7 linked regions of the Macaca mulatta genome follow. The protein of the gene in region 3 interacts with the protein of the main gene of each other region in a pairwise test. Links are inferred from orthologs where the notes say so. Each region holds a gene or a part of one and is shown on either strand. Other genes may lie near its edges.

What was found.
Region 1: the proteins of SDCBP (region 3) and CBR3 interact in binary tests that used the Homo sapiens proteins (3 or more experiments, as listed by UniProt). The two-hybrid records come from large-scale screens. The link is inferred for Macaca mulatta from reciprocal best matches to the Homo sapiens genes SDCBP and CBR3.
Region 2: the proteins of SDCBP (region 3) and TLE5 interact in binary tests that used the Homo sapiens proteins (3 or more experiments, as listed by UniProt). The two-hybrid records come from large-scale screens. The link is inferred for Macaca mulatta from reciprocal best matches to the Homo sapiens genes SDCBP and TLE5.
Region 4: the proteins of SDCBP (region 3) and FTL interact in binary tests that used the Homo sapiens proteins (3 or more experiments, as listed by UniProt). The two-hybrid records come from large-scale screens. The link is inferred for Macaca mulatta from reciprocal best matches to the Homo sapiens genes SDCBP and FTL.
Region 5: the proteins of SDCBP (region 3) and RIC8A interact in binary tests that used the Homo sapiens proteins (3 or more experiments, as listed by UniProt). The link is inferred for Macaca mulatta from reciprocal best matches to the Homo sapiens genes SDCBP and RIC8A.
Region 6: the proteins of SDCBP (region 3) and COX4I1 interact in binary tests that used the Homo sapiens proteins (3 or more experiments, as listed by UniProt). The two-hybrid records come from large-scale screens. The link is inferred for Macaca mulatta from reciprocal best matches to the Homo sapiens genes SDCBP and COX4I1.
Region 7: the proteins of SDCBP (region 3) and LZTFL1 interact in binary tests that used the Homo sapiens proteins (3 or more experiments, as listed by UniProt). The two-hybrid records come from large-scale screens. The link is inferred for Macaca mulatta from reciprocal best matches to the Homo sapiens genes SDCBP and LZTFL1.

The regions. Positions count from the first base shown.
Region 1 is NC_133408.1:11,285,411-11,289,859, forward strand, and holds the start of CBR3 (carbonyl reductase [NADPH] 3), read right to left. Parts: upstream 2,864-4,449; 5' UTR 2,765-2,863; coding exon 2,476-2,764; intron 111-2,475; coding exon 3-110; intron 1-2. UniProt on the Homo sapiens protein: Catalyzes the NADPH-dependent reduction of carbonyl compounds to their corresponding alcohols. Has low NADPH-dependent oxidoreductase activity.
Region 2 is NC_133424.1:3,847,747-3,851,597, forward strand, and holds the end of TLE5 (TLE family member 5), read right to left. Parts: intron 3,526-3,851; coding exon 3,481-3,525; intron 2,880-3,480; coding exon 2,817-2,879; intron 1,350-2,816; coding exon 1,275-1,349; intron 1,196-1,274; coding exon 974-1,195; 3' UTR 46-973; downstream 1-45. UniProt on the Homo sapiens protein: Transcriptional corepressor. Acts as a dominant repressor towards other family members. Inhibits NF-kappa-B-regulated gene expression. May be required for the initiation and maintenance of the differentiated state.
Region 3 is NC_133413.1:69,251,105-69,254,955, forward strand, and holds part of SDCBP (syntenin-1), read left to right. Parts: intron 1-1,281; coding exon 1,282-1,360; intron 1,361-2,607; coding exon 2,608-2,717; intron 2,718-3,851. UniProt on the Homo sapiens protein: Multifunctional adapter protein involved in diverse array of functions including trafficking of transmembrane proteins, neuro and immunomodulation, exosome biogenesis, and tumorigenesis.
Region 4 is NC_133424.1:61,420,976-61,425,073, forward strand, and holds FTL (ferritin light chain), read left to right. Parts: upstream 1-1,817; 5' UTR 1,818-2,018; coding exon 2,019-2,120; intron 2,121-2,281; coding exon 2,282-2,428; intron 2,429-2,797; coding exon 2,798-2,923; intron 2,924-3,415; coding exon 3,416-3,568; 3' UTR 3,569-3,594; downstream 3,595-4,098.
Region 5 is NC_133419.1:82,835-87,212, forward strand, and holds the start of RIC8A (chaperone Ric-8A), read left to right. Parts: upstream 1-1,535; 5' UTR 1,536-2,662; coding exon 2,663-2,746; intron 2,747-3,082; coding exon 3,083-3,130; intron 3,131-3,218; coding exon 3,219-3,809; intron 3,810-4,377; coding exon 4,378-4,378. Other genes in the region: BET1L (BET1-like protein), read right to left, coding at 1,122-1,140.
Region 6 is NC_133425.1:81,189,050-81,193,426, forward strand, and holds the start of COX4I1 (cytochrome c oxidase subunit 4 isoform 1, mitochondrial), read left to right. Parts: upstream 1-1,519; intron 1,520-2,839; exon of another isoform or gene 2,840-2,860; coding exon of another isoform or gene 2,861-2,861; coding exon 2,862-2,934; coding exon of another isoform or gene 2,935-2,938; exon of another isoform or gene 2,939-2,940; intron 2,941-4,377. Other genes in the region: EMC8 (ER membrane protein complex subunit 8), read right to left, coding at 701-931. UniProt on the Homo sapiens protein: Component of the cytochrome c oxidase, the last enzyme in the mitochondrial electron transport chain which drives oxidative phosphorylation.
Region 7 is NC_133407.1:109,184,212-109,188,062, forward strand, and holds part of LZTFL1 (leucine zipper transcription factor-like protein 1), read right to left. Parts: intron 2,757-3,851; coding exon 2,632-2,756; intron 480-2,631; coding exon 285-479; intron 1-284. UniProt on the Homo sapiens protein: Regulates ciliary localization of the BBSome complex. Together with the BBSome complex, controls SMO ciliary trafficking and contributes to the sonic hedgehog (SHH) pathway regulation. May play a role in neurite outgrowth. May have tumor suppressor function.

The sequences.
Region 1 (4,449 bases), on a different chromosome or scaffold from region 3:
ACCATGAGGTTTCATTATCGGTAGTAACTCGTTGCACATGTTTCTAGTGGCAAAAAAATTTGTCTTCAGTGTCATCTCGGCTTTAATGTCAAAGGGCATTGGATCATCACCTTTCAGAAAGAGAAAGAAACAGAAAGAAAGTCATATTTTTCCCCCTGAAACTCACATGACAATGTGGATCCTAACTCCGAACAACTAAAGGGAAAAAAAAGTTAATTTTAAAACAATTTTTAAAAACGAGGTCAGTGATTCTCAAACTTTAGTGTGCATCCGAATCACTTGTAGAGTCACCGAATCACAAGTGAATCGTCCGAATCACTTGTAAGCTGTTAAAACACAGCTTTCTGGGCCTCACCATCAGAGTTTCTGATTGCAAAGGGCTGGAGTAGGGCTCCAGAATTTACATTTCTTTTCTTTCTTTTTTCTTTTTCTTTCTTTCTTTTTTTTTTTTTCTCCGAGATGGAGTCTTACTCTGTCACCCAGGCCGGAGTGCAGTGGCACAATCTCGGCTCACTGCAACCTCCACCTCTGGAGTTCAAGCGATTCTCCTGCCTCAGCCTCTGGAGTAGCTGGGATTACAGGCACGTGCCACCACGCCTGGCTAATTTTTTTATTTTTTGCAGAGATGGGGTTTCGCCATGTTGGCCAGGCTGGTCCCCAACTCCTGACCTCAAGTGATCCACCCGCCTCGGCTTTCCAAAGTGCTGGGATTACAGGCGTGAGCCATCGCACCTGGCCTGAGTTTGCATTGCTAAGTTCCCAGATGATGTGACAGCTATTGGTCTCTAGCCACACCTTGAGAACACTTGGCTTTGACTACCATTTCTCAAAGGTGCATAGGAGGGAGCTGGGGATTCTGTTGAAATGCAGATTTTTTTTTTCTTTTCTTTTTTCTTTTCTTTTCTTTTTTTTTTTTTTTTTTTTTTTGAGACTGAGTCTCGCTCTGTTGCCCAGGCTGGAGTGCAGGGGCATGATCTCCTCTCAGTGCAACCTCTGCCTCCTGGGTTCAAGTGATTCTTGTGCCTGAGCCTCCCGAGTAGCTGGGATTACAGGAGTGAGCCACTATGCCCAGCTAATTTTTGCATTTTTAGTAGAGACAGGGTTTCACCATGTTTCCCAGGCTGGTCTTGAACTCCTGACCTCAGGTTATCTGCCTGCCTCAGCCTCCCAAAGTGCTGGGATTACAGGCGTGAGCCACTGGGTCCAGCGGAAATGCAGATTTTAATTCAGCAGGTGTGGGGCAAGGCGGGAGATTCTGCCTTGCCATGAGTGCCCGGGTTTGCAGCTGCTGCTGGTCCATTCCCTACACTTTGAAAGGCAAGGGGAAGTCCCTCCGCCTGTCGTCCAGGAAGCCGGGTATTTATCCGCCAATTTCTCAGCCCATGACTGAGGGCTGCTTTAGGGGTGTTAATCCCCACTCCTGCACCCCAGCTCCCAGAAAGCCGGCTGGCTGAGTTGCCGGTGCGGGTCAAAGAAAGTCTCAGGTCCCCGTGTACAACAATGCAGAGTGCCTAGGGCCAAAGGGATGAGTGGAGACTTCTGCTCCCCCATCCTTCATTTCACTCCCTCTTAGGCTCCCCCCTCCCCCCCCCACTAGGTTGGAGGTGAAGCCGGCCTGTTTATTTCTCCGTGGTAACTTTTTTTTTTTTTTTTTCCAGACGGAGTCTCGCTCTGTCGCCCATCCTGGAGTGCAGTGGCGCGATCTCGGCTCACTGCCTCCAAGGTTCAAGCGTTTCTCCTGCCTCGGCCTCCCAAAGTGCTGGGATTACAGGCGTGAGCCACTGCGCCCGTCCTGTAATTTTCTTCAGTAGTAGTTAGAATAAGTAATCTGATCCCCGCCCCTCTCCTTAAGGAAGATGCTTTTAAGACCACACACACATGTTTTATAACAAACATAAGCTCCCCGGGGGAGGGAACGAGAGGGCTCGCTTCCTTTTGGTCAGAGCCTATCAAAGCTCTGCATTACACAAATTGTGAAGTCCACCAAGTGCAAGTGCGCGCTAATCCTGTTCTAGCGATTCATTTCCTTCCCCAAGCAAATGCCTCCGGGCATCTATGAATGCGCCCTTTCAAGGAAAGCGAAAGCCCAAAGCGAGCGGTGACACTTTCTTTGCAGAGAAAATGTTTCTTGCGTTGGAAGGAAAGCTGATGAACTCCAGCAGGGCGTTGCCGCCTCCCAGGAGGCCAGTTTTCCTGCACACAGCAGCGGCTGACAGTTCGGGGAGGGCCCCGGGCCGCGCACAGGCCCACACAGGCCGGCGGGCGGGGCGCCCTGTGTCTGTCGCCCGGGCCCGCCTGGGGCTCAGCGAATCACGGAAAGCGAAAACCGCCTCGCGGGAGGCGTGGGCTGAGCGCATCCCTAGGGGCCGGCGCCACCCTCCTTGGTCACTCAAGTGGTTGGGTGGGGAGCCTGCGGCTGGCCGCCCCGCACCCTCGGAGCGCTCCAGGGGGCCCCAATCCAAGCCCTGCACCTACTCTTGAAGGCGACTGCCGCGTTGTTGACCAGCACATTGAGCCCGCCGTACTCCTTGCGCAGGAAGTCGCGCAGGGCGCGGATGCTCTGCAGGTCGTCGATGTCCAGTTGGTGGAAGCGCGGGCTCAGTCCCTCCGCCTGCAGCTGCTGCACGGCCGCCTGACCCCGCGCCACGTCCCGCGCGGTGAGCACCACATCCCCCGAGAACTGTCGGCACAATTCGCGCGCGATGGCCAAACCGATGCCCCTGTTGGCCCCGGTCACCAGCGCCACGCGGCTGCAGGACGACATGACTGACCCGGGCGCGCGGGACACCTGCGTGGACACCTGGAGGGCGGACCAGGCTTCGGACCACCTGGGGCGCGCCCCGAGGAGCCCAGCTAGTGTCAATGCCGCTAGTGTCAATGCCGCCGCGCAGACTAAGATCCAGCGCTGCGAGTCTTAAAGAACAAGGCCCCGGCCTCGGTCCCTCCCCTCCGAGGAGGGGCCGTCTGTGCCTTCTGTTCCAACTCCTGGGCCCGCCCCCTGCCCACGATGCGCCCTTCAGGATCCGGGCTCTGAGCCGCAGAGTGATCTGAGAGGTGTCTGAAGCCAAATCGAACCTTGATGGGTCAGTCGGGGGCTCCAGATTCATGGCAGCTGGACTGAAGAAGTTATTTTGGGAAAACCCCAAAGTGAGAAAAACAAGTGCTGAGTAATTTTCTTGGGTGTGCGCCCATCATGCACGCAAAATGCGAATGTTTGCCTTTTCCTAAGATGCAGTAACTTTACTTAGACACAGTAACTGCTTCTCTGGACATAGATCCCCTTGCTTGCTTAAAAGGAACTCAGGAGAGGGAATTAGATGCCCTGTGAGCACACCTAGCAGGTGTGGGCAGGCGACATCGCTCTGGGATTCCCAGCGAATGTGCCCCCAAGTGGGAGGGAATGTTCTTATTTAATCCTGACTTAACTCCTATGGGTGCTAAAAGTGTCTGCATTTAGGTTTGCCCAAGGAGGATATAGATCCATAGAGATCTGGATTGATCATATATTCTCACAGTGAGATCTGTGTACCGGCAAAGAAAGTTAAACTGAAACCAAATTCCCAAAGGCGTGTCAAGCTGTGGGCACCAAATTAGAGCCCCATCCATCGTCTTCAGTGTAAACTGAGTTGTTTGATCAGTGACTTTGAGATTTGGGGAGAACTGTGACATCATCACAACTCAGTCTTTTCCATGCAGAGCTGGCTAACCTGCCTGTGTCTGTTACTCTGACTCCACCTTCTCTCTCAGGTCCTTACTTGAGGTTCCGGAGGTGGGCCCCTGCTGTGATCTCCTACTGTGCTTACCCCAGTATTTCCTTTTTTCTCCTAAAGATCATTTGGTCTGGATGCGGTGGCTCACACCTGTAATCCCAGCACTTTGGGAAGCTGAGGCGGGTGGATCACGAGATCAGGAGTTCAAGACCAGCCTGACTAACATGGTGAAACCCCATCTCTACTAAAAATACAAAAATTAGCTGGGTGTGGTGGCGTGTATCTGTAATCCCAGCTATTTAGGAGGCTGAGGCAGGAGAACTGCTTGAACCTGGGAAGCGGAGGTTGCAGTGAGCCGAGATCATGCCACTGCACTCCAACCTGTGCAACAGAGTGAGACTCCTTCTCAAAACAAAAACAAAAACAAAATCATTTGGAACCTTGTTTTAAGGATATGGGGCTATTTAGGTTTTCTATTTCTTTCTTTCTTTCTTTTTTTTTTTTTTTTTTGAAACAGGGTCTTCTCTGTCACCCAGGCTGGAGTGTAGTGCTGCAGTCATGGCTCACTGTAGCCTTAATTTCCTGAGCTCAGGTGATCCTCCCCTCTAGCCTCCCCAGTAGCTGGGACTACAGGTGTGCCACAGTCATGCCTGGCTAATTTTTAAATTTTAATTTTAATTTTTATTTTTGAGATGGGCGTCTCACTGTGTTGCTCAGGCTGGTTGAACTCCTGGGCTAC
Region 2 (3,851 bases), on a different chromosome or scaffold from region 3:
TCCTCCCCCGGGGGCAGCCACGACACAGAGGCAGGGACACAGCACTGAACCTTCTCACATCTTTATTTGAAAGGCACAGCTAAGCCCACCCTTGATACAGCATTTTCCACTTCTCTCTGTAGAGATCAAACGACTGAACACAAGATAAGCTGACTATATACAGACACAGGTGTGGGTGTTGCTTTTTTTTTTAAAAACATTTTTGTCTTTTTTTTTTTAATATCCCCTTTCTTAAAAGACAAGCTAGTATACTGGAAAAAGAAAAAAATAATAATAAAATAAAAACCAAGACAACTTTAGTACCCTCATCTTTATTTGGGAAGGGGAGGGGGAATCCTGGGTCGCCCACCCTCACCCTGCTCCTCCCAGCACAGCTAAGCTCGTCCCTCGTGCCCCCTCTTTTGTGGGCAATGGGAGAGGACCAGGTGGGCGTGGAGGCGTCTGGAACTAGCAGAGGTGGTGAGTGGGGCAGGAAGTGGAGGTGGGAGCAGACCTGGGACCCCGGGTCGGGGGAGACTCGGGGTGCCCAGGATGGGAAAGGGGCAGCTAGCATTGCGTGCATGCAGTACCAGGGTGAGAGCGCAGTGGCGTGTGCCCCGAGGGGCCCGGGCAGACTGTCAGTTACACGTGTTCAAAACGGGGGAATGGCCAGGGGTTCTGGGCTTCTCGAGGTCTTGCTCCCTTGGGACCTGGTCTCCCATCTGACCCTCCAGGCCTCAGCTTGCCTCACATGTCAGGGCAGGTATCCACCTATCCAGGCTGCAGGGGAGGAGGAGGGAGGCCGGGACTGGGGTAGGAAGAAAGCTAGAGGTGGCCTGCAAGTCGGACTGGGGCCTCCGCAGGCAGCCGCCATAAATACTATGGGAGTTTAGCCAATCCCGAGCTCCACTGTGTCTTGTGCTAAACATTCTTTCTCTCCGTGCCTCTGTCTCCCCTCTGTCCCCCCTCCCACCCTCCCCGTCCCGGCCCCCTGCTAATCCGACTTCTCGCCGTCATCCTCCTGGTGGGTGTCACCGTCGTGCCCGTTCTTGTCTTCCTTGGAGAGGTGGGCCTGGGAACCCAGCGCGGACAGCGAGAGCAGGCCGGTGCCTGCACTGACCGCCGGCAGCGAAGGCGGCTGCAGCCCCACAGGCAGTGGGGTCAAGGGCAGGGCCAGGGCCTGCAGCTGGGACAGCTGGTGGGCTTGGAGCTGCTGCTGCAGGACGGGGGAGGGGAACGTTAGCTGCCTAGGGCCCACCTGTCCCCCGCCCACCCGCCCAGGTCCCCATACGTACTCGGATGATAGAGTTCAACTCAGGAGCGGTGACCTGCTTGGCCCTCTCGATGGCTCCCAAGACCTGCTGCTGGTGCTGGAAGGGGATGAGGAGAGAGGAGAGGCAGTGATTCCTCCTGATCCTGACTGAGAGAGGAGGCGGTGGCTACCCTGGGGCCAGGAGGAGCCCCGCTACCAAGGGGGCCATCATGTCTGCTCCTCCCAGTGGTTTTCAACCCCATCAGAAAGCGCCTTCCCTCTCTCCAACTGCTTCCTTTCACCAAGCTCGTCTCTTCATCTGGCCAATGGAGATAAATGGAAAAGTGCAGAAAACGATTAAAAGGGTTTTGTGCCAAGTAGTTAGAAAACGGCCTTTGAGTGAGTCTGGGAGAAACCCCGGATCCTGACCTATCCTATGTCCGCAGCCATGTACAAAGACATGAAAGACGTGAATATTTGTGCAGTACACAACCTGCCCAACTGTACAGGGATGTCCTGATCCTAGGAGCTCCAAGACTGTGCCCTGAGTCCGGCCAAATTGAGCCCTTCTCCTACCATGGCTGGAGAGGGCCCAATGAATTCTGGCAGAGCCAGCTGGGGAATGGGCCTAGGTTCAGGGCAGTTCCTCCCCCAGCTCTCCCCAAACACCTGACTCTGTGGCCAGCAGATGCTAGAATCTATCAATCTCCCTTTTTGCTTTGGCCACCAGGAAGCCTCCGTTCTGAAGAGTTCCAATTGCCCTTTTCTCTAGGGCTTTCATTGGGTCCTTCTAGACTTGTCCCTGGGCAAAGCAGGGCACCCAAAGGATCCTGAGATACAGCGATTAAAGAGGAAATTACAAATTTTTGACAGTAAACTTGGCAGGGACAGGAGATGGGCCTTACATGGCCCTGGGGAGGGGCAGCCTTGCATCCTGAGCCTCAGAACCCAAGAAAGGAGAAGAGAAGCTGGGCATCAGGTTCCTCTGGGTGTGTGTGCATGTGGTAGTGTGTGCTCAGGATCACATGTGCTTACTGTGTAGCTGCACATTCCTGCGTGTGTGGCCCTGTGCTGTCTGCACACGCCGTGTATCCGTGTGTGTCTGCGTCTGTGTGTGTATCTCCCGTATGTTGATGTGCTCATACCTATCTATGTGGCTGTGTCCATGGGGGACCGCCCTGTGCTACCCCATCCCCGCAACACACCCTCTAGTCTTTGGTTCTGTGCCACCCGCAGCGCCTGAAGGATGTTCTCAAGAGGGTGAAAGGAGGAAGAGAGATGAGAAAAAAACATTCCTGGTGCAGTTTTGGCCCATCCGACATTTCTACCTATGACATGACTCACTCCAGCTGGGAATTCCAGAGCAGGGTGAGGCCCGGCCCCCACACCCCTGTACCCCTGGAGTGTCTCTGGCCCAGGGATTCTTCTGCATAGGCCAGCTCTGGTGTCCAGAGCCGGGGAGGTCCAGAGAGGGGAGGCATGTGCCCTGGGGCACCCAGCACGCCCCCCAAGATGGTTGCAGCGGACAGGGGCTGGGCAAGGGGAGGGCCCCCTGGCACCCCCTCCCTGAGGCCCTGGCTCTTACCTCTTGGGAGAGGTAGGGCAGGACCTGGGCACAAATCCCGTTCAGCCTTTTGACAATCTCCGCCTGGAACACACAGATGAAGTCAGCGTCAGTCCTGGATGGGTGGCAGGTGCAGGCCAGCCCCAGGAGGCCCGCACGGGGCCCAGCCCAGCCCTGCCACTTGCGGCTTCTCTCTAAGAGGGGCTAGGTCTGGCCAGGGTGGGATGAGCAAACCCGTGTTCGGGCCCAAGGGCAGCCAGTCAGTGGCAAAGGTGGGGCTGGAGACCGGCTGTCGCCTGCAGCTTAGAGTGCAGTAAATGCAGGATGAGGCCAGACTGCACATTCCTCGGCTACATTCCTCAGGGCTGGGCCACTCAGGCCCCTGGCAGATAGTGAGCGCTCGTGGGAATGTAGGGAGGGCTGGGGGCCACAGGTTGTGGGGAAGGTCTCCGCCTCTCCCGCCACCCCCAGAAAACACTTCAAGGGAGGCCTGAGAAAGAGGCGGTGGGGAGGAGAGTGGGAGCTTGGGAAGGGCTTAGGAGGTAACAGGATAACAGGGCTGGCTGGGTGCCCAGCCAAAGGCCGGCTGCTACCTGCCTGGGGGTGCCCACGGGGGTGCTGGAGGCGGGGGGCAGAGGGGGAGGAGGGGGAAAGGAGAAGGAGGAGGAGAAGGAGATGGGCGTACCTGTTTGTGCATCTCGATGTTCAAACCGTAGGACATCTCATAGTACTGTATGGGGGAGAGAGAGAGGGAGCGGGAGATGAGGGCAGGGAAGGATGGGGGGGCATGGAGACAAAGAGATAAGGGAGTGGTAGAGACAGACAAAGGGGGGAGACAGCTGAGGGCAGGAAAGAAACGAGGCAGGTGGGAGGGAAAGAGCAGGAGGGAGAGACGCCCACACCCAGCGTCCCAGCCAGCCCGGGAGAGGGGCAAGGGGCCTGCTGGGGCTGCGGATGGAGACTGGAAGCACTTTAGGTCCCTAGCCCTGGCCTGGCTCCTCCCCCACTCCGTGTGCACCGCGAGAACACGCATTCCAGGGCTCCTAATCTTGTATC
Region 3 (3,851 bases):
CCTCCATGTCTTTTCATGTCTTTATAGCTCTTTTTTTTTTTTTTCAGTGCTGCACGGTACTTTTTTTGTTAGACGTGATTCAAGAAGTAATATAACAAGCCACTAGCTCCTTTTAGCTAATCGTGGTGAAAGAACTTTCAAAGTTCAACACATGTTCAATTTGTGGATTGTTATTTACAGTTATAAAGATGTTCATGCTGTATTTTGTTTAAATCTAGAATGTTTAACAAATTATGAAATAATAAATATTAAAGGATAACTCAACAAGTATATCAGAACATATGACTTTAGTACCATTCAAAGCTTTTGTAGGCTTTACTTATTTAACCTAAGCTTTCATATCTCCAAAGCATCTTTGGGACTACTCTTGACATTGATTTTAGGGCTAGGTTGAGATACTACTATGAACTTCATTTTTAAAATTACACGTTTCCAATAAAGTAAAAAGTTGGTAGAGATTGGTCATACAACTTATTACCAAACTTGTCTCTAATGACATATAGCTATTTCAGAAAGTAGATCTAATGGTAAAGGATAAAGTATTTCCATCAGTGAAAATACTTCATATGATATAGGCCATCGAGGCAGCCCTGAGAAGTGGATACTTGGTCATGAATAGCACTGATAAATGCTAGAGTGTCAGAGTGTGTCAGAATGATTTTGGCAAGTTTAACAGTTACAAATTATATTACCTTGTCATCATCCATTTATGTCAGTGATAAACTGTGCTATTTTCATAATTTCTGATATTCTAAAAGTGTTTAGCATAAATCCCTTGCTATACTTGCTGTGATGAAGATGATTTCAGTGGGACATGCTAAAATGGTAAATATTAGCAACTTAGTATTTATTTTTTAGGTGTTTTTCTGATATGTGACTTTTTATATGAATATGGGTATGCTTTTTTCTTATGCAAATATTTTATTTTACTTGGACTAATTAGTAAAAGAATAATGAAATGTAAAATTTATCCATTTTAGAATGCACTTTGAAAATATTTATTGTGGCAGCACTATGAAATACTGGTTATAAGACATGTAGAATAGTACTTCTACAATTTTTTTGTGATAGCCTTAAAAGTATTTAGAATATCAAATACAATTTTGATTTGCAGATTTCCTTTGAAAAAATGTATTGCTGACATGTTTGAAATTAAACTTTCTTACATAAATCTTCATTGTTTTAGTTTCTTTTTGGAAGTACTGGATTTAGCTTATAAATTATATAAGTATATAAAGTAAGTATAGTGTATTGTTACAATTTTCTTCTTTTCTTTTTCAGGCTCAAACTGCTTTTTCTGCAAACCCTGCCAATCCAGCAATTTTGTCAGAAGCTTCTGCTCCTATCTCTCAAGATCGAAGTAGGTTTATACTTTGAGTTCATTCTCTGTGAACAGAAATATTGTTATCTTCTTTTGCTCAAATAAGGAATCCAAGATTTTTTTTTCTTGACAGGCTGCATAAAATTGGTAGTTAAGCTCAAATAGTTATGAATAAGAAAAAAAAGTTTACTTCAAAAAATAACCCTTTTTCTAATTAAGATAGTGAACTGTGGATATGGGGATGTATTTCATGGCTTAATGAAAATTGATTTTAGACTGACTTGTAAATCCCTAACATGTGGCTGATTCATTTATGAATGAATTATATATATGAATTCACATGTAAGAACTTTTTGAATTCACATTTAAGAACTATCATCATGCTGCTGCTGTTGAACTTTCTGAATTGTCTTCTGTCTTTCCTATGGGAGCTTCTGAAATTTCCAACCACCTCCTCTTTGGGAAGCCTCTTAAATATTGAGGCCTTTATTCATTCTCTGTATCCTGTCTTTAGTCCCTTTTTCTTCAAGGTTCAGAGGGATTCAGGACAGAGCTTCTAAATACTATGACTTAAGATACAAAATAAGTGTTAAATAAATTTTGTGGCCTGTCATTTTGTCTTACAACAGTTTATAACCTTGCCTCATAGAAAATTCATTTTAAGTCACAGATAATTTAAGTCTCATGTAGAAAAGAGCTTTTGGAAATAGTATATAACTACTACCAGGTGAAATAATGTTAATATTTAAAAATACCATTTGCAGGATTTCATTGGAATGTAGTTAAAATTACTAAAATTGATAAGACACTAAATAAATTTACAAGCTTTCAAAAAAAGATTGTTCAGAAGAATCATTCCATAGCCCTGTTTACAGAATGAGTTATAAAGTAGCTGACTTGACAAATAGATATTTTGGTCAGTTGTTCTGAATTGGTAAGTGGTATTCTTACTAAATTCCTAATCAAGTAGGTTTATTTTAAGAAACAGGAAAGGCAAGATAGTTTATTTGGAAAAGTTATTTCTACTTTTGAGTGTTTAGGAATCTGGTTGTTTCAGTTCAGATGTCTTCATATTTTATGAATTTTAAACATTTTCTGTATTTTCCATTTCTAATGGTTACAGAGATGGGGAGATGCCTTTCCAAATTGCTACTTTAAATTCATTCTAGATTTTATAACTTAAGTATAATTTCGTTAATACACAGAAGCCCATAATAAAAGAAGTTTTCATTTTGTGTATTCTGTAAGTACTTTTTAATTTATTCATTCATTCATTTACTTATTAGATCTCTATCCCAAACTATATCCGGAGCTGTCTCAATACATGGGGCTGAGTTTAAATGAAGAAGAAATACGTGCAAATGTGGCCGTGGTTTCTGGTGCACCACTTCAGGGGGTATGTACAGTGTAATTAATTTTGAATTATATAAAACCATACTTTACATATTAATATAAGCTTTCCTGTTTGTGGCTAACTCAAAAATATACAACAGCATTGAACCTCACTTCGCAGAAATTTTAGACTTCCTTTTGGATATCGTTTCTTACATAGTCTACTTCATTTTGTGCTACACGTTTTGAGTTTATTAGGATTTAGATTCAGATACCTTTTACTAGTTCATTCTCCTTTGTCTTCTGCATTTAGTCATTTACTAAGTCCTGTTGATTCTGTTTCTGTTTCTTGTATTCATTTTGTCTGTTTTTTATCCATTCTAGTCCTACTATAACCATATTCAGGGTTTCTATACTTCTAGCCTTCATTATTATAGTACTCTCTTAAATTTCCTCTAGTAACTTATTTCGATGGTACTAAGCTGTTGCTAAGTTAATCATTCTGAAATACACATATAGGTCTATCGTATCTTTGTTGCTCATAATCTTTTTTTTTGTTGTTGTTGTTGTTGTTGAGACAGAGTCTCACTCTGTCACCCAGGCTGGAGTGCAATGGTGTGATCTCAGCTCACTGCAACCTCTGCCTCTTGGGTTCAAGTGATTCTCCTGCCTTAGCCTCCCAAGTAGCTGGGACTACAAGTGCGTGCCACCATGCCCGGCTAATTATTTGTATTTTCAGTAGAGACCGGGTTTCACCATGTTGACCACACTGGTCTCAAACACCTGACTTCAGGTGATCCACCTGCCTCGACCTCCCAGAGTGCTGGGATTACAGGCATGAGCCACTGCGCCAAGCCTTTGCTCTTTAGTCTTTTAACATTCTTTTTGAAATCCAAAGCTCCATGTAATTAGACTCCATATTCTAGCTTAATTATAATGGATCTGATAACCTTTTATTAAGGTTATTGCTATGACCATAGCACTTTGTACCACTTATTATAATTGTAGTTAAATCTGTGTCTGTCTTGTTGCCATATCCCAATGCATATACAGTACCTAGCATGTATGTATTTACCAAATATTTATAGAAAACTTGTGTTAGTGGTGATGCAGTTGGGAAAACAAATAATAGTAGGTATTTTAAGAGGTTGAAAAATTGAAAAAAACATAATTGCAGATAGCTAGTTGCTTCTCCTAG
Region 4 (4,098 bases), on a different chromosome or scaffold from region 3:
TGGGTCTGAGCCAGGTCTAGTTCTGAGGGTCCCACCAAAAAAGTCGGGGAGTGCCAAGGGGATGAGGTCAGTGAGTGGCCCCACCCACATCCGTCCCCGCGGGGGGCCTCTTCCCGCGCTGAGCTCAGCATGACTCAGCAGTCGCTGCCTGCAACAAGGACCCCAGATACCGGCCTGGCGAGGCATCTGCAGATCCCCTCGGTCAGGGGCTGCCCTGCCTGGGCTGCTCGGAGCGGCTCCTCTGTAGGGCAGGGCCTGACCTCACACCCCACGCCCCAGTGGCTTCAGCTCCCTGCCCAGCGCACGGGCTACCTCCATCGGGGCACTTAAGCAGGGTCAAGGTTTGCGCCGACTCCGTCTCCCAGAAATCAACATGGACCAGGTCCGCTTAAAAAATACGCATTAGAGAGGCCGGGCGCGGTGGCTCAAGCCTGTAATCCCAGCACTTTGGGAGGCCGAGACGGGCGGATCACGAGGTCAGGAGATCGAGACCATCCTGGCAAACACGGTGAAACCCCGTCTCTACTAAAATACAAAAAAAAATTAGCCGGGCGAGGTGGCGGGCGCCTGTAGTCCCAGCTACTCGGGAGGCTGAGACAGGAGAATGGCGTGAACCTGGAAGGCGGGGCTTGCAGTGAGCTGAGATCCGGCCACTGCACTCCAGCCTGGGCAACAGAGCCAGACTCTGTCTCAAAAAAAAAAAAAAAAAAAATACGCATTAGTTGTAGACAGACGTCTCGTCCATAGGTCCCCAGACTGTGTGTCCACAACGCAGGGCTTCTCTTTGTGGGCCTGAAAGAGCACACGTCAGGCAAGACACGACGGCAACTGCGGAGACACTGTTTTCAGGGCCAAGGAGAATTCTCGGAGTCTGTGAGTTGCCTCCAAAACAGCCCCCAGGACACGCAGTCCCAGAGACACCGCAAAGCTCGAAACAGACATTTCATTCCTCCCCATTTCCACTCCCAGAAAACGACTGGGCCCTTAAAAGAGCTCCAAGGTATCCCCAAAGTCCCAGCCAGTCTTTGGAGGGTTTCCGAGGGCTGTCCAGGGTTCCAGAAGTCACCCTACCTCATACAATGCTCCTCCTGGGCTTCCCGCACTGGGGAACCCCACGGCTCCAGAACAACTGCCCTTTCCAACTTGCAGAGCACCTCAAGGACCTAAAGATCTCCCCGGGGAGGGCTCCAAAATATAGAGTTTGCATCGTGAACTCCCACCTCTGTAAAGCCCAGGACTCCAGTCCTCGCACCCCTCTGTCTCCCAGAGATCCCCAGGGGTCCAGAAATACCACCTCACTGCCTTCCAAGCTTCCCAAGGATCCGGAGACTCCTTATCTCGCAGCACAAACCTCAGGCAACTACAGGTCCTCCCCGCACCTCTGAGTTGCCCCTCCCCCACTCAAGGTTCCAGAAAAATCCATGCCCTCCGAAACCCCACAATCTGACTTACTTTCCCGAGGCACCCCCAGGACCCCAGGGTCATCAGTTCACAGGACTCTCAATGCTCCCATAAAACTATAGCCTCCCAGAGGAACCCCAGCCCCCACCCCCCCGCCCACGAAACCCTCCATTCCTCGAATCGGCCCCAGGGCCCCAACCCCCGCAAGCCCCCATTTCACAACACACTCGCGCTGCAGGCGCGTGACTTCCCCCTGCTTTGGGGCGGGGGCTGAGACTCCTGTGTGCTCCGGATTGGTCAGGCACGGCCTTCGGCCCCGCCTCCTGCCACCGCAGATTGGCCGATAGCCCGCTCCGAGCGCCCCGCCTCCGAGGGCCAGCGCACTATAAAAGAAGCCGCCCTAGCCACGTCCCCTCGCAGTTCGGCGGTCCCGCGGGTCTGTCTCTTGCTTCAACAGTGTTTGGACGGAACAGATCCGGGGACTCTTTCTTCCAGCCTCCGAGCGCCCTCCGATTTCCTCTCCACTTGCAACCTCCGGGACCATCTTCTCGGCCATCTCCTGCTTCTGGGACCTGCCAGCACCGTTTTTGTGGTTAGCTCCGTCTTGCCGACCAACCATGAGCTCCCAGATTCGTCAGAATTATTCCACCGACGTGGAGGCAGCCGTCAACAGCCTGGTCAATATGTACCTGCAGGCCTCCTACACCTACCTCTCTCTGGTGAGTCCCCAGGACGCCCCTGGCCCTAATTTCCCCCAGCTGCGCACGTTCGGCCCTCAGCGCAGGCGCCGGCCTTCTTTGTCCGGTCGAGTAAACAGAGGGCGGAGTCCCCCTTGGCCTCGCCTCCCGCTAAGCGTTGTTCCCTCCATCTCTTTCCTTAGGGCTTCTATTTCGACCGCGATGATGTGGCTCTGGAAGGCGTGAGCCACTTCTTCCGCGAATTGGCCGAGGAGAAGCGCGAGGGCTACGAGCGTCTCCTGAAGATGCAAAACCAGCGTGGCGGCCGCGCTCTTTTTCAGGACGTCAAGGTAACTAGTGTGTGGGTAGGGTAACGGACTACATCTCCCAGCAGGCCGTGCGCGCGAGGAGCCTTGATTTGAGGGCTTAGATGTCGCGTGGGCTTCGGGGAGATTGAGTTCGGTCTTGTGAGCCCTTTTACGGCTGGAAATAGAGGCGCACGTCGTGCAGTGCCCCCAGGACGCGGCAGTCCACACTGCTGCGTAGACTTAAGGACGTGTAGCTGTAAGAGCTAGGACGGGGTGCGGAGAGTGATAAATACAAGCTGTCACATGTCTTTGTGGCCTGGGCCTCTGACCCCCACCAATTCTTGGGAAATGTAGGTTTAGTTCCATGTGCCGAGTGTGTGTATTCTGAAGCCGTTTCTCCCTTCTGTATAGAAGCCAGCTGAAGATGAGTGGGGTAAAACCCCGGATGCCATGAAAGCCGCCATGGCCCTGGAGAAAAAACTGAATCAGGCCCTTTTGGATCTTCATGCCCTGGGTTCTGCCCACACGGATCCCCATGTACGTACCCCCTGCATCCATGGCTACCCAACCATACCCCTCAAGCCTTTGCTCTCTTTGGGCAAATTCCCTTCAGAGCCTCATTTAACACCTGTCATATTTTAATCTGCAACTGGCAGCTCTTTCTCCCTCTTTTCCAGGGATCGGGTTTCCTTTTTTTTTTTTTGAGACGGAGTCTCACTCTGTCGCCCAGGCTGGAGTGCAGTGGCCGGATCTCGACTCACTGCAAGCTCCGCCTCCCAGGTTCACGCCATTCTCCTGCCTCAGCCTCCCAAGTAGCTGGGACTACAGGCACCCGCCACCTCGCCCAGCTAGTTTTTTGTATTTTTTTTTTTTAAGTAGAGACGGGGTTTCACCATGTTAGCCAGGATGGTCTCGATCTCCTGACCTCGTGATCCGCCCGTCTCGGCCTCCCAAAGTGCTGGGATTACAGGCTTGAGCCACCGCGCCCGGCAGGGATCGGGTTTCTAATTTCTCCCTCTTCTCTCTCAGCTCTGTGACTTCCTGGAGACTCACTTCCTAGATGAGGAAGTGAAGCTCATCAAAAAGATGGGTGACCACCTGACCAACCTCAACAGGCTGGCCGGCCCGGAGGCTGGGCTGGGCGAGTATCTCTTCGAAAGGCTCACTCTCAAGCACGACTAAGAGCTTTCTGAGCCCAGCGACTTCTGAAGGGCCCCTTGCAAAATAATAGGGCTTCTGCCTAAGCCTCTCCCTCCAGCCACTAGGCAGCTTTCTTAACGACCCTAACAAGCCTTGGACCAAATGGAAATAAAGCTTTTTGATGCAGTTGGTGGTTTTGTGTGTGGTATGGAAGATGAGGTGGGATCTGTTCTCATAAAGCTTCTGGCTGGGTTGGGGATGCCAGTGAAAGAGGAGTTGGCCCCATCTCCCATTTTCTTATCTCTTCTAAGACAAGAAGCTATCTGGGTAGTGTTGAACTTGAGGGTTCTCTGCTTGCCTGGCTGTTAACTGTCCCTCCCAGATGGTAGAGATAGCCTCCAGGGAGTTGAATTAAGACCTAGGTTGGTACCTGGACACAGATCTGTTCGGTTTCAGCCAGAAACAGCACTATTTAATGAGTGATTATGAGGCCAGGTGGGCCGATCAGCTGATGTCAGGAGTTCGAGACCAGCCTGACCAACATGGAGAAACCCCGCCTCTACTAAAAATAC
Region 5 (4,378 bases), on a different chromosome or scaffold from region 3:
TCTTGCACATGTGAGAGAGACTGCATAAAGGACGATGTGTGCAAGGGCCTGTCATGTGAACACGTGTCCTGTGTACACATCCAGGTGGGGATGGGCCAGCACCCACAGTGGGTTCAGTCCAACCAGCACCTTCTGAGACTGTGTAGCAAAAACTGGGCCCAGCTCTGGGATGTTAATAAGATGTGACACTTGCATCCAGGGAGGTCGCCATCTGTGTATGTGGAGCCCATTCTTATAGAAAAAGAGTAAACTCTGCTAAGAGCATAGGAAAGACTTGGGAAAAGTACCCAGCAGGGCAGCAGAAAGGCTCCTGCAGGGACGACCTTTGAGCTGGGTCCTGAAGAGGTGGCAAGGAACCAGGACAGAACATTGGGAAGGCCCTTTACCGCACAGAAAACAGCTGAGCAAAGTTCCCAATTCCGCGAGATGGGAGCTGAGGTCGACCAGGAGCGTGATCCCTGGTCTGCATCCCACACAGGGCTTCCTGCAACACCCAGAGCACAGCGCTTGCAGAGGCCCGGCCTGTGACAGGCTGGGCCAGGTGATAAGGAATTTCTGTCACCTCAGGTGGGTGAGAACCACCTTCTCCCTAGCTTCAACGTTAAGGAAGGGATGCCAGCGTCCTTCCAACCACTTCCTGTTCATTAATTCCTTTACTCATCATAACTCAGACAGGCATCAATATCCCACTTTGCAGAGAAGAACACGGGCTCCAGGAGGGGAAATGGGGCCACCGAGGCCCAAGTTAGTTAGCAGAGGCCTGCCTGGACACCAGCGGAGCACAGCCTACTCCGAAGGCCTGGCCTCGGGACCTGTCGAATGCCGAGACTCCCGCTCACCCTGAACCCATGCAAAACGATCTCACAGGGAGCGGCGGGGAGTGGGGGGACCCCGCAGCTGCGCGACCCCTCGCTGGAGCTGCTGGGCCGCCCCGCCCGCCGTCCTTCCTAGCGGCAGTGCTGGCCGAAACCCGGCCCTGCTGGGACCCGGAAGGATCCGAATCCGCCCCCCTGACAGGGTCCTCCCCGCCGAGGCCAGAGGCAGGCGCACGCGGCTCTACAGGCAGCGGCGTCGGTTCCGGCCCGGCCCTGCCCCCAACGGCTCCGCTCTCCCGCGCTCACCCCGAGCCCAGTCCGCCATCGTGCCCTGCCCCGGCTCCTCGACGCCAACACCGACGCGGCCACAGCCGCCTCAGACGTGGCGCAGTCACGGGGAACGGGCTTCCGGCCCCGCCCCCCGCCAGCGATGGCCCCGCCTCCGCGCCAACCACGCCCCTAGATGGCCCAGCCGCTTCCGCGTCGGGCTCGCTGATTTCCGGCTTAGGCCCGAGGGTGGGGAACCGCGGGGTCGCGGAAGCGATGGGCGTCGCTGTGACTTATTTTCAGCACTGTCGCCCAGGCAGTGGCGCGATCTCAGCTCACTGCAGCCCCCGCCTGCCGGGCTCCCAAGGTGCTGGGATTACAGCAGCACCGCGGATGTGACGTTTGTTTGTTGTTCCTGTGAACGTGGGGCGGGGCGGGGCCGTTTGCTTGCTCAGTGCCAAGACGATGGTGGTGGAAAGACGCTGCCATGCGTTAGGTCCTAACGGTTAGGAAGGATTCACAGGCGGGTCATGAGGGAGGAGTAGGCCCCTCGGGCAGAAGCCCGCGAGGAGCCCTGGGTGTGGAGGGGGCAAGGGTGCCTCCTCTGTCAAGTGGAGATCGGCGCCTCGCTAGTGCCTGCGAGTGCGCGCCGCGTCGAATACAGGTGTGCGGAAAGCGCTACAGGAAAGTGAAGCAGGGAAAGAGACTGGGAGGCGGCACGGGGAGTGGGGGCCGTAGACGCCTTTGCTCCCGGGCACTTGTTACAAGAGCCAGTGGACCGCGCTTCCTGTGCGTCACTGAATCCTCCTGATGGCCACTGAAACGGACACGCAGGATCTTTGCTTGTCAAGAGGGAACTGAGTCCAGGCCAGACTGCGTTGCTCCCCTTTCTCTCGGCCCCTCACGGCCCTTCCACCTTTGCAAGTGCTGCTCCTTCTGCCTGGAGTGGCTCCTCCAGTCTTTTCCCAGCTCGCTTCCCATCGTCCAGTGTTAGCAAAAACACCACTTCCTCACAGCCCTTGCAGCCCAGCAGTCACCTTTTGCTTCTTTTGAAGCACAGCCCTGTGACCGCCTCATGTCCTTTTGTTTTTCCTTGTCTGCCTTCCCCTCTGGAACATAAGCTCCACAAAGGCAGGGGCCTGGGAGTCCCGTTCGCCTGCATTCCCCAGCAAACGCCTAACGAACCCAATGGCCCGGGACTGAAAAGTCCTTTCCACTTCGGCTTTCCCGTCTACATCCCATCGGTTCTGTGGAGCTCGAGGGGCGTCACTGTGTGTGTGGCAGGGCGCGGTGGGGGCTGAGATCCTTTCCTGTTGGAAATTCCGGCCCAAGAAGCCCCGGTCACAAGGAGGGGGATCAGTCCGGTTCAGGGCGACTCGGCCCGACTCGGGTCTTCCGAGCCGCCAGTGCTGCCTCAGGCCGCGCCCCCTTGAAGCGCCACCAGACGCCGCGTCCCGTCCCGGCCTCCCCCGCGCGCTGGCGCGGGGCTTTCTGGGCCAGGGCGGGGCCGGCGAACTGCGGCCCGGAAAGGTTGAGGAAGGGCCCGTCCCGCCTTCCCCGCGCCGGGTTCCGGGGGCGCCATGGAGCCCCGGGCGGTTGCAGAAGCCGTGGAGACGGGGAAGGAGGATGTGATTATGGAAGCTCTGCGGTCATACAACCAGGAGGTGAGCGGCCGCCTGAGGCCGGGGGGCGGGCACGGAGGGGGTGGGGCAGGGTCGTGCGCGGGTGGTCGGGACGGTGTGGGTGAGGCAGGGGTTGTGTCAGCAAGCAGAGGGGACGCGGCGGGGTGGGGGTGGCACGTCAGGGATGCAGTGTTGGGGGGAGAGTGTCTGGGGTGCACCCGTTGGGTGGCAGGTGTGTAGGGATGGGGGCGAGTGTAGACCCTGCCACCCCTTCTGAGCAGTGGCTGCTGCCTGAGTTAGAGGCCAATAGGCCGCCCCCCGTCAGCGGGCGCGGATACTGCCCCTCTGTGGACTTGAATTCACTCGTTCTCTCTGCAGCACTCCCAGAGCTTCACGTTTGATGATGCTCAACAGGAGGACCGGAAGGTGGGTGCTGGCCCGAGGGGTAAAGGGACAGGGACGGGTGGCCCCAGGAAGAGGGGCCTGGTGGAGCCGCTCGTCTCCCTGCCCACAGAGACTGGCGGAGCTGCTGGTCTCCGTCCTGGAACAGGGCTTGCCACCCTCCCACCGTGTCACCTGGCTGCAGAGTGTCCGAATCCTGTCCCGGGACCGCAACTGCTTGGACCCGTTTACCAGCCGCCAGAGCCTGCAGGCACTGGCCTGCTATGCTGACATCTCTGGCTCTGAGGGGTCCGTCCCAGACTCCCCCGACATGGATGTTGTACTGGAGTCCCTCAAGTGCCTGTGCAACCTCGTGCTCAGCAGCCCTGTGGCACAGATGCTGGCAGCAGAGGCCCGCCTAGTGGTGAAGCTCACAGAGCGTGTGGGGCTGTACCGGGAGAGGAGCTTCCCCCACGATGTCCAGTTCTTTGACTTGAGGCTCCTCTTCCTGCTAACGGCACTCCGCACCGATGTGCGCCAGCAGCTGTTTCAGGAGCTGAAAGGAGTGCATCTGCTGACTGACACACTGGAGCTGACGCTGGGGGTGACTCCTGAAGGGAACCCACCCAAGCTCCTTCCTTCCCAAGAGACTGAGCGGGCCATGGAGATCCTCAAAGTGCTCTTCAACATCACCCTCGACTCCATCAAGGGGGAGGTGGACGAGGTGAGCCCTGACCTCAACCCATGGATGGGTCTCAACTCAGCTCCAACATTTCCTGGACCTGCTTCCCACTGGGTACCTTCAGGTTTCTGGGTGTCAGACATGGAGAGAACAGGACCTCCCAGCGTGTTGGGACAAGGCCAAGGAGATGCCAGTTCTGGGCTGGGACCTTAGGGGAGGATTCTGAGGGAAGTAGAGGCCCCTTCTGGCTCTTGCTGCCTGGCAGGGGGCTGTGTGCTCTCCGGGGAGACTGTAAGAGATCCTCCACCATGAGGCTGTGAGTGGGGCTGAGACAGAGTGTGACTTCATCCCAAGGGTGTGTGTTAACATTCCTAATCAGGGACGTGCTCTTAGAAGAATACTCATGGAGTTTTTAGGAAGACAGCAGTGGTCATCTTTTGCCCCCAGCACTAGCCAGAGTCACCTAGGAGACCCCAGGGGACCAAGTGTGCAGTACAGGAGGTGCACAGTCATTGCCACACAGTTCTGGAGTGCAACAGACAGTAGAGCCTCAGCAGGCAGCAGTGGGATGAGTGGGGCTCCTCACAGGAACCCTTCTTTCTTTGGTCAGG
Region 6 (4,377 bases), on a different chromosome or scaffold from region 3:
TACAGGCGTGAGCCACCGCGCCCGGCCCCATATAAATTCTCTAGCTTTTAAAAGCCATGGAAGCATTCTAGGTAAGTTGTTAACCACTAACGGGAACAAATTCTCCTTACACAAGGTCAGGCACATTCAAGGGGAGCGAGGCCTGACATGCATCACGGGAAGACACAGCTCTGATCTGGCAACTCTACCTTTCTAAAAGCGTCCGAGCTCCGGGGTGCCCGAGTACCGACAGCCAAAGAACCACAGCATTTACACTTTGCCAGATAAGGAATCGGCTCTGTGAAGGTGCGAAGAACCAAATGCTAGCGATTAATGTCCCAACAACGTGAAAACTTCCTGCAACTCGAAATCCTCAATGGAAACTCTTGTCGAATCCTTGTCGAAACCAAATTAACGATGACTTGTTTCTACAAAGGCTACTGATTTCAGGAAACTAACGTATAACTCGTCGCCTTAAAGCGCCTCTAAAAGCATCCACGACGGTTAAAGTCGCTGCTACTACGAGACGCTATTTATTCAGCGCCAAGACCCAAGCGCCATCGTGGATCACCCCATTCCTGGCCACGGCGACCCTAGGGAGCGGGTCCTAGGAGCCTGCTGGAGGGCGACCGCTGAGCCAGCTGAACCAGCTGCCTCTCTGCTGACTGAGGGGAGGCCAGGCTGCCTGCAAGGGCGGGGAAGGGGCCCTTTCCGCGCTTACCAGGGTGAGGGCCACCTCCAGCATGGGGGCGAGGGCCAGGGTGCCGTGGAAGAGGGGGATGCAGTCCACGAAGAGGGTGTGGTGGGCGCCCGGGCCGCCCAGGGGGAGGTGCTCCTTACGCGGCTTCTGCTTCTCGGCCACCAGGAGCCCGTTGACGGCGCAGTGCGGGTACTTGGCGCCGTGCAGCACCATCTTGCAGTAGGCCTGGGTGGTCAGCTTCACCCCGGGCATGCTGACCCGGGAGGGCCCCGAGGCCCCTGGGCGCGCGGCTGAGGCCTGGACCCGCTGCCCGGCCGCGCGGCGCCTCAGCCGAGAAGCGGGACGAGCCGGCGGTGATTGATGGCACGGCCGCGGGCTGGTGAGGGGCCCCTCAGGCCCGGCCCCGTTCGTGCCTCGGCTCCTCGAAAAGCGATTCGCGCCTCTGGGAAGCCGCAGCCCCAGACCCCACTCGCGCTTCTCGCCCGGCGCCGCCGGAAAGCGGTCTCCCCAACGCCTGCCGGAAAGCAGCCCGGCCCGGCATTTTACGACGTTCTCAGCGCTACCCTTTTCCGCTCCACGGTGACCTCTGCGCGGCCGGGTGCAGGCGGAGTCTTCCTCGATCCCGTGGTGCTGCGCGGCGCGGCCTTGCTCTCTTCCGGTCGCGAGACACCGGGCGTAGAGGGCGGTCGCGGCGGGCAGTGGCGGCAGGTGAGGCAGGAGGTGGCCGGTGCGGGGCCGCAAGGCCGGGCCGTGTCGGGGGGCCGGGAGCCGTCGAGTCTGCACGCCCGCAACGTGGCCGCCCGGCTTCCGCAGGAAACACTGAATGGGCCTCGGAGCCAGGTGACATTGAGGCCGGCCCGCGGGGACTCCGGCCTCCATGGCTGCAGGCTCGGAGGGCGGTCCCGAAGCGCCCGGTCCGTCTTCGCCAGTCGCGCGGCGGCTGCGGGCCGGCCTCGGGCAATGACCTTGGGAGCGCCCGCTGGCCGAGGGCGCAGGCTGTGGGGAGACGGGCCCGCGCTCTGTACCTGCATCCTCCGCCCTTGCTCCTTCAAAGGTCCCTGCAACCCCTCCCGGGTTTTGCGGGGCTCCCGGGCGGCGCTCGGCTTCCTAGCCTGGAGGGCGCCAGTTGTTTCCAGTTGTTTGCTCACGCATGGGCTAGGCCCAAGGAGAGAAGTTAGACGCGGGCGTTCAGCCCTGACGTCATGCTTGTTTATTCTGCCCCGAGGAGGGTATTTTCCCACATCACCCTCACCATTCCTGCGAAGGGTCGATTTAAAGGGGGCGGTGTAGGGTAGATGGACCTGAATCGAGGAGGACCGGGGTGAGGCGGGGGTCTACCAGGTTTTCCGCTCTCCTCAGGGATTGGAAATTGACCGGGGCTGTGTTGGCAGCCTTCTCCAATTTCCCCTTCTAGTCTGTGTATATGCGGTATTAGGTTTTAAGCAAATACTCAGTTGAATGTGATCGTGCCACCATCCCTGTGAGCTGTTACCTCCCCCCACCGCCCCCTGAAGAATGGAGCCTGTAACGGCAGCACAGTGCTTTAATGATCTCTAACTTTCTCACTGTCGCTTTGTTAACATTTTTTCTTCTTGCCTTTTTTTGTTTGTTTGAGACGAAGTCTTGCTCTCGTTGCCCAGGCTGGGATGCAGTGGCGCGATCTCGGCTCACTGTAATTTCTACCTCCCGGGTTCAAGCGATTCTCCTACCTCAGCCTCCCAAGTAGCTGGCATTACAGGCGTCCACTACCATGCTTGGCTAATTTTTGTATTTTTAGTAGAGACGGGATTTCACCATGTTGGCCAGGTTGGTCTCGAACCCCTGACCTCAGGTGATCCGCCCTCCTCGGCCTCCCAAAGTGCTGGGATTACCAGCGTGAGCCACTGCGCCTGGCCTTTCCTTGTTTTTTTAAAAAGACCAATGTTCTGTTAATTACCTGAAGCTCGTATACATTATGGCAGTTGATTTATAATGAAGCTCCTTAAAAGCATGCGAACTACTAAGAAAAACCTCATCCTAGGTTATTTTGTGAATTCAAAGACAGTAATAAAGAATGGATCATTTGCGTTGGGGAGAAGCAACTAAAAGAATTTAATTCCAGAATGCTCTGGGGCAAAAAGAAGACTCATTCCTTGCTGTTTGCCCTTATTCATAGAGAAGGTGTACATTTTTATCTTTCAGAATGTTGGCTACCAGGGTATTTAGCCTAGTTGGCAAGCGAGCAATTTCCACCTCTGTGTGTGTACGAGCACATGGTAAGTGTGACTTTTCTTTCTTTTGAATAGGCTGAGCTAATTTCATTTTGCTCCTGCTGTGTATAAGGCCTTGTGCTGGAGTTTTAAAGACCTTAGTTTGGCTCTTGAGGGTCTTTAGGGGAGATACAAATATTCTCACAGGGCCCGGTTTTAGATTAAGAAGTGTTTAGGAATCAAATTGAATCTTTTCTGGATCTTTGGTGATACCGATATTTCCCCCCTTACCCTTCCCTTCCTTTCCCCTTTTTTAAGCTTCAAGATCTACCCCTTTCAAAAGATCTTCTGCACCAAAACTAACCTTAATGACCTCCCTCCCCACCTTGCCCCCACAACTCCCAACCATTTGCATCACGTCTGTTTACATTATAGAGACAATGGAAACGAAGGAGCCTGGACTTCATAGCCTGAGCTGGGTTTTCATCTCATTTCTGTCAAGGACTAGCTACTGAAGCTTAGGAATCTCTTTGCTCACCTGAAGTGTATGGACAGAGCTTAGTTCTGTGTCTGGCATACAGCACATTTAGTTTTACATGTATCTGGCATCTGTCTACTTTATACCAGACACTGTTAGACACCGAGAAGAAAAAGAAGACGAAATACACACTCTTTCCAGGAGGCTGTTTGCAATCTGAAGAGGGACAGATGGATGAAGACAGTGTTTTATTAAGAGATGGCTCCTGGGTAGAAACATTTAGCCCAATGTGGGGTTCAGGGAAGGCTTTGGAAGAAACTCTCCATGTAGACTCTGTAGAGTGTGCACCCTGCCTGGTTAGAGCTGGTCCTGCCTGCCTTTCTGATCTCATTACTGACTATTGTGCTCGAAAACCAAAAACCACCATCAGAACCACCCCTCCCCACTTGCTCACTGCCCCAGCCCCCTGGCCTTACTCCATTCCTCCCGTAGAGCGCTGAGTTGAGGATGGCCACTTCTGTCTAATCATTCACCCTCAATACAAATGTGCTTTTAGAACGGCCTCTCCTGACCACCCTTTGTCAGGAAGCTCCCTGTCACTTCACCTTGCTGTGCTTTTCCTTATAACACTGGATGCCTCATGAATGCATGTCTATGTGAGTATCGCTGTCTCAGCCTGTTAGAGTGTAAGCCTTTTGAGGCCGGGGACCCTGCCTATCTTACTCATTGCCGTATCTCCAGCACACAGGAGGCAGATGAAGACGAACTACAGGCTCTTAGACAAGTCTTGTCTGTTAACTTTTTTTTTTTCTTTTTTTTTTCTTTTTTTCGAGACAGAGTCTCGCTCTGTCGCCCAGGCTGGAGTGCAGTGGCGCGATCTCAGCTCACTGCAAGCTCCGCCTCCTGGGTTCACGCCATTCTCCTGCCTCAGCCTCCCGAGTAGCTGGGACTACAGGTGCCCGCCAACTCGCCCATCTAGTTTTTTGTATTTTTTAGTAGAGACGGGGTCGTTAGCCAGGATGGTCTCGATC
Region 7 (3,851 bases), on a different chromosome or scaffold from region 3:
CAAGCTAATAAAAATGCAGTAAAAAATAATTAATGATAGCCTGAAAAGCAATTTCATAAACCTCAATGGCCTTTGTAATACCTAGGAACAGTAGAAACAAAGAACTTTTAAAAGGGCACTTAGTGGTACCCAAGAGATCACTCAGTGACTCAATGCTTTGCTGTTACCCTACCCAAATTTTCTCACACACCAGCCGCAAGAAAATATGCAGCAAAGATATTCACTAACTTTTAAGATCATGCTTGGGCCACTACTGTCACAGTTGCAAGTTCAACTTTTATTACCGGTTTTCAAGTTCAGAGATGTCTGTCTGTAGCTTAAGATACCACTTCTCAGCTTGTGCAAACAGCTGTCGCAGAAGTAACACATTGGTATAGGCAGTGTTGATGAGCTCAGATTCCACCTCGCTATGAACCACAGCTTGCAATCCATTGAGAACTTCAGAGACTTCATCTATGGTGAAGGTCTCCTCCACCAGCCTGAAAAACAACCATGATCCAAAACTTATGGATAAACAACAAAAAAAATCTACAAAATACAACAAAATTAAGAAACCCACATTCATGCAATCTAAGAAATTCAAAGATTACAGTGAAAATCTCTCTGGGAACTATCTTCTTTATTAATAAACATTGAAAATAATTTAAACTCAATTAATTTTTGACATCTATTCAAATGATTAAATTGTGCACATCATTTAATACAAGTAAATGCTCAAACACATTCCCCAAACCATCATCTACTTTTTTCTTTAACTTTTTAGTATTAAATGTCTTATTTCAAACTCCACTGAAATCAGTCTTATTACATTTAATAATTTCAAAAGTAACCTGGAAGGCATAGTCTTATTTCTTTCTAATATTTCTCTAGCATTTTAGTAACTGTATGAACTATTCACAGGTTAGTAAATGTCTATGGGAAATAAATGGTAATTATATATTGCTCCTCTTTGCATTCTTGAGACCCAAAATAATAATAATAATAATAATAATAATAATAATAAACTAGCTTATCTTAAAGTTCCACTGAACACTCCACAAAAATGAGTATCATCATCAACAACAGCATTAGAAATCTACTCTAAGGGCAAGGCATGGTGGCTCACACCTATAATCCCAGCACTTTGGGAGGCAGAGGCAGGTGGATCACTTGAGGTCAGGAGTTCGAGACCAACGTGGCCAACACAGCAAAAACTCTTCTCTACTAAAAATACAAAAAATTACCTGGGTATGGTGGTACGTGCCTATAATCTTAGCTACTTGGGAGGCTGAGGCAGGAGAATTGCTTGAAACCAGAAGGTGGAGGTTGCAGTGAGCCGACATTGTGCCACCGCACTCCAGCCTGGGCGACAGAGCGAGACTCCGTCTCAAAAAAAAAAAACAAAAAACAACTACTCTCACATAGAGAATGCTTGGGTTGGAAGAGAACTTTGGTGCCATCTTCTACAATACCCTAACTTTACAGATAGGAACACAGGTTTGAAGAGTGGAGGTGACTTGCCTATGGTCACATTGGTGGTGATAAATCCCACAATCATCTTCAACAATGGTGCTGGGCAAAGGATTCATGCCCAACAGCTGAATCCTTGAAAAAGCTTCCGTGTGTGCCTTCTAGTTTCAATGACAGTATCACAGTAACACAGTCCTCTCCTCTCCCTACCTCTACCCTCCAAAGTCCCTTCTCCCTCAGACTCTCAGCAGATGAAGGGCAACTACACCAACCTCAGCTTTATTTTCTTCCTACTTCCAAAAAGACATCATCAAGCAAGACCCAGTTACACTAAAGCATTATCAGAGTTAAACTTAATAGTATTTGTTTTATAATTCTTTAATGTTTCATCTAGCCAGCAGAATTTAGTCCTTCTCAAAAAAACCAGAACATTTTTTTACAAAAATCTTTATTAAAATATTAATAATCTTTCTATATTCTTTAATAGAACATATGTTCTTGCCAATTAAATTGTTGCTTTCATCTGCTGGGGGTTAGGAAACCAGATTACCAGATGAGTTTAATGGGCTGAATGGTCTAAGGCTGATGGCCTCTAATACTGACACATTCATGGTTTTATGGCAGCTGGAGCTCACTTGGAGGTCTTTTTCACTTATGTCTGACATGACATTCATCTCTTGCTAAAAATCAACTATGGTCCAACCATTATTATCTCATGCTAGAAATCAACTAACAATTTTGGTACTAGTCAGCATTATGATTTCCTGCTGTTTTCCTCTCTCTTAATTATTCAGTATGAAACACAGACGTGTTTTCTCACTAATTTCCATGTCTTAGAGCTCTAACCATTTAATTAATAACTCAAGTAATTAAAGTTCTGGAATCTTTAATACAACCAGCCAATCATTAATCCACAAACCCTTGGCAACTTCCTGACTACCCTTCTGAAGCTCTGGAATCCTATAATTATCACATGCATTTCTGATAATAGATTCATTGCTTCCACCACGATACAACTTCTTTTGTTTCCTCTATCCATGAGGCTTAGTATAGCTGCTGTTAGCAAATAATTGATCATGATGAATCCCAGAAATTGACTGACATCTGCTATGGCACCCCCATACTGGCTACCAGAAAGAATCCATGTTCCTATTTGGTTTGCTTAGAGTCCTCCTCTGATACCTGCTCTCCTTGAGGTCTTGGAAGCAGGAATCTACAGTTTTGAGTCTCAAGCCTCTCTTTGAACGAGCAAAACGCATATAATTAATAACTTCATTTTGATGGTGCTCATTTAGGCCCAACTCTGCCTGAAAAAGAAAGAGGTAATTTAATTGTTAGTCTTGAAGAACTGATCAAAGAGCCAAAAATGAAAATGCATAAGACATTCTGTGGTCGAGACTGCTAGATCTCCATCAAATTCTATTCTTCTCTTTTTCCTGGCTGCATGGCTGCCCAGCTAGATGACACTTCTTTGCCCTCCTTGCAATTAAGTCACTGCTGGCTACTTCTCAGCAATGAATGTTGTGGTCTAGTTCCAAAGACCTGGCCTTAAGATATGGGGTGTACCTCTGCCACTCCCTGTTTCTCTGAAACCTGGAAGAGGTGGTGACTTGACTGAATCACGCAGACAACATTAATGCCCTAGAGGCTGGGGGAGCCACGAGATGAAAGGGACCCACATCTCTACCTCATGGAGAGACACTGACCCTGTCACTGAACTGAGATGAGCAGTAAGATGGCTGTTAAGTGAGAGAGAAATAAACTTCTGTATTCTTCAAGCCACTTAACCTTACAGCAAAAAATAGCAACTCTGTTATAGCAGCTTAACCCTTACCCCATTAAATACAGCTTTAACAAGTATATTTGATTTGGAAAGAACCACTAATTGGTCTGTACTTTAAACCAGATGACAGCTTGACAGATATTTAAGAGGCAAGCCCAAGGAGGTAGGGCTAGCACCCAAAGAATAGAGCAGGTCAGCAGTCAGCTAAGAGCAAGGCATCGGCCATGTTAGTTGAATTTGTAATTAAGCAGCTGATGAGCTTTACAAAGCAGTTTAGGTGGCATAAGTCTTTAAGGTCTGGAGGATAGAATGGAGACAGCAAGAGCTGAAGGGAAGCGAAAGAGAAATCTGTAAGGTAACCAAGTGCAACAGGTTACAGTCGCATATGCACCTGAGTTGTGACTAACAAGACAGATTTCTATTATGCACTAAAAGTAATTGACTACCTACATTAGAGACAATATTATCTCTGATAGTCACACATCAATATGGGCAAGAATATCCCACAATTTAGAAATATCACAAAACAATGTCACAATTTGCTAAAAACAAAGCACAAATACAGATTCTTAATCATTATTGTCTATAGTATAAATTTACACTCTTTACTCCTCAAAAC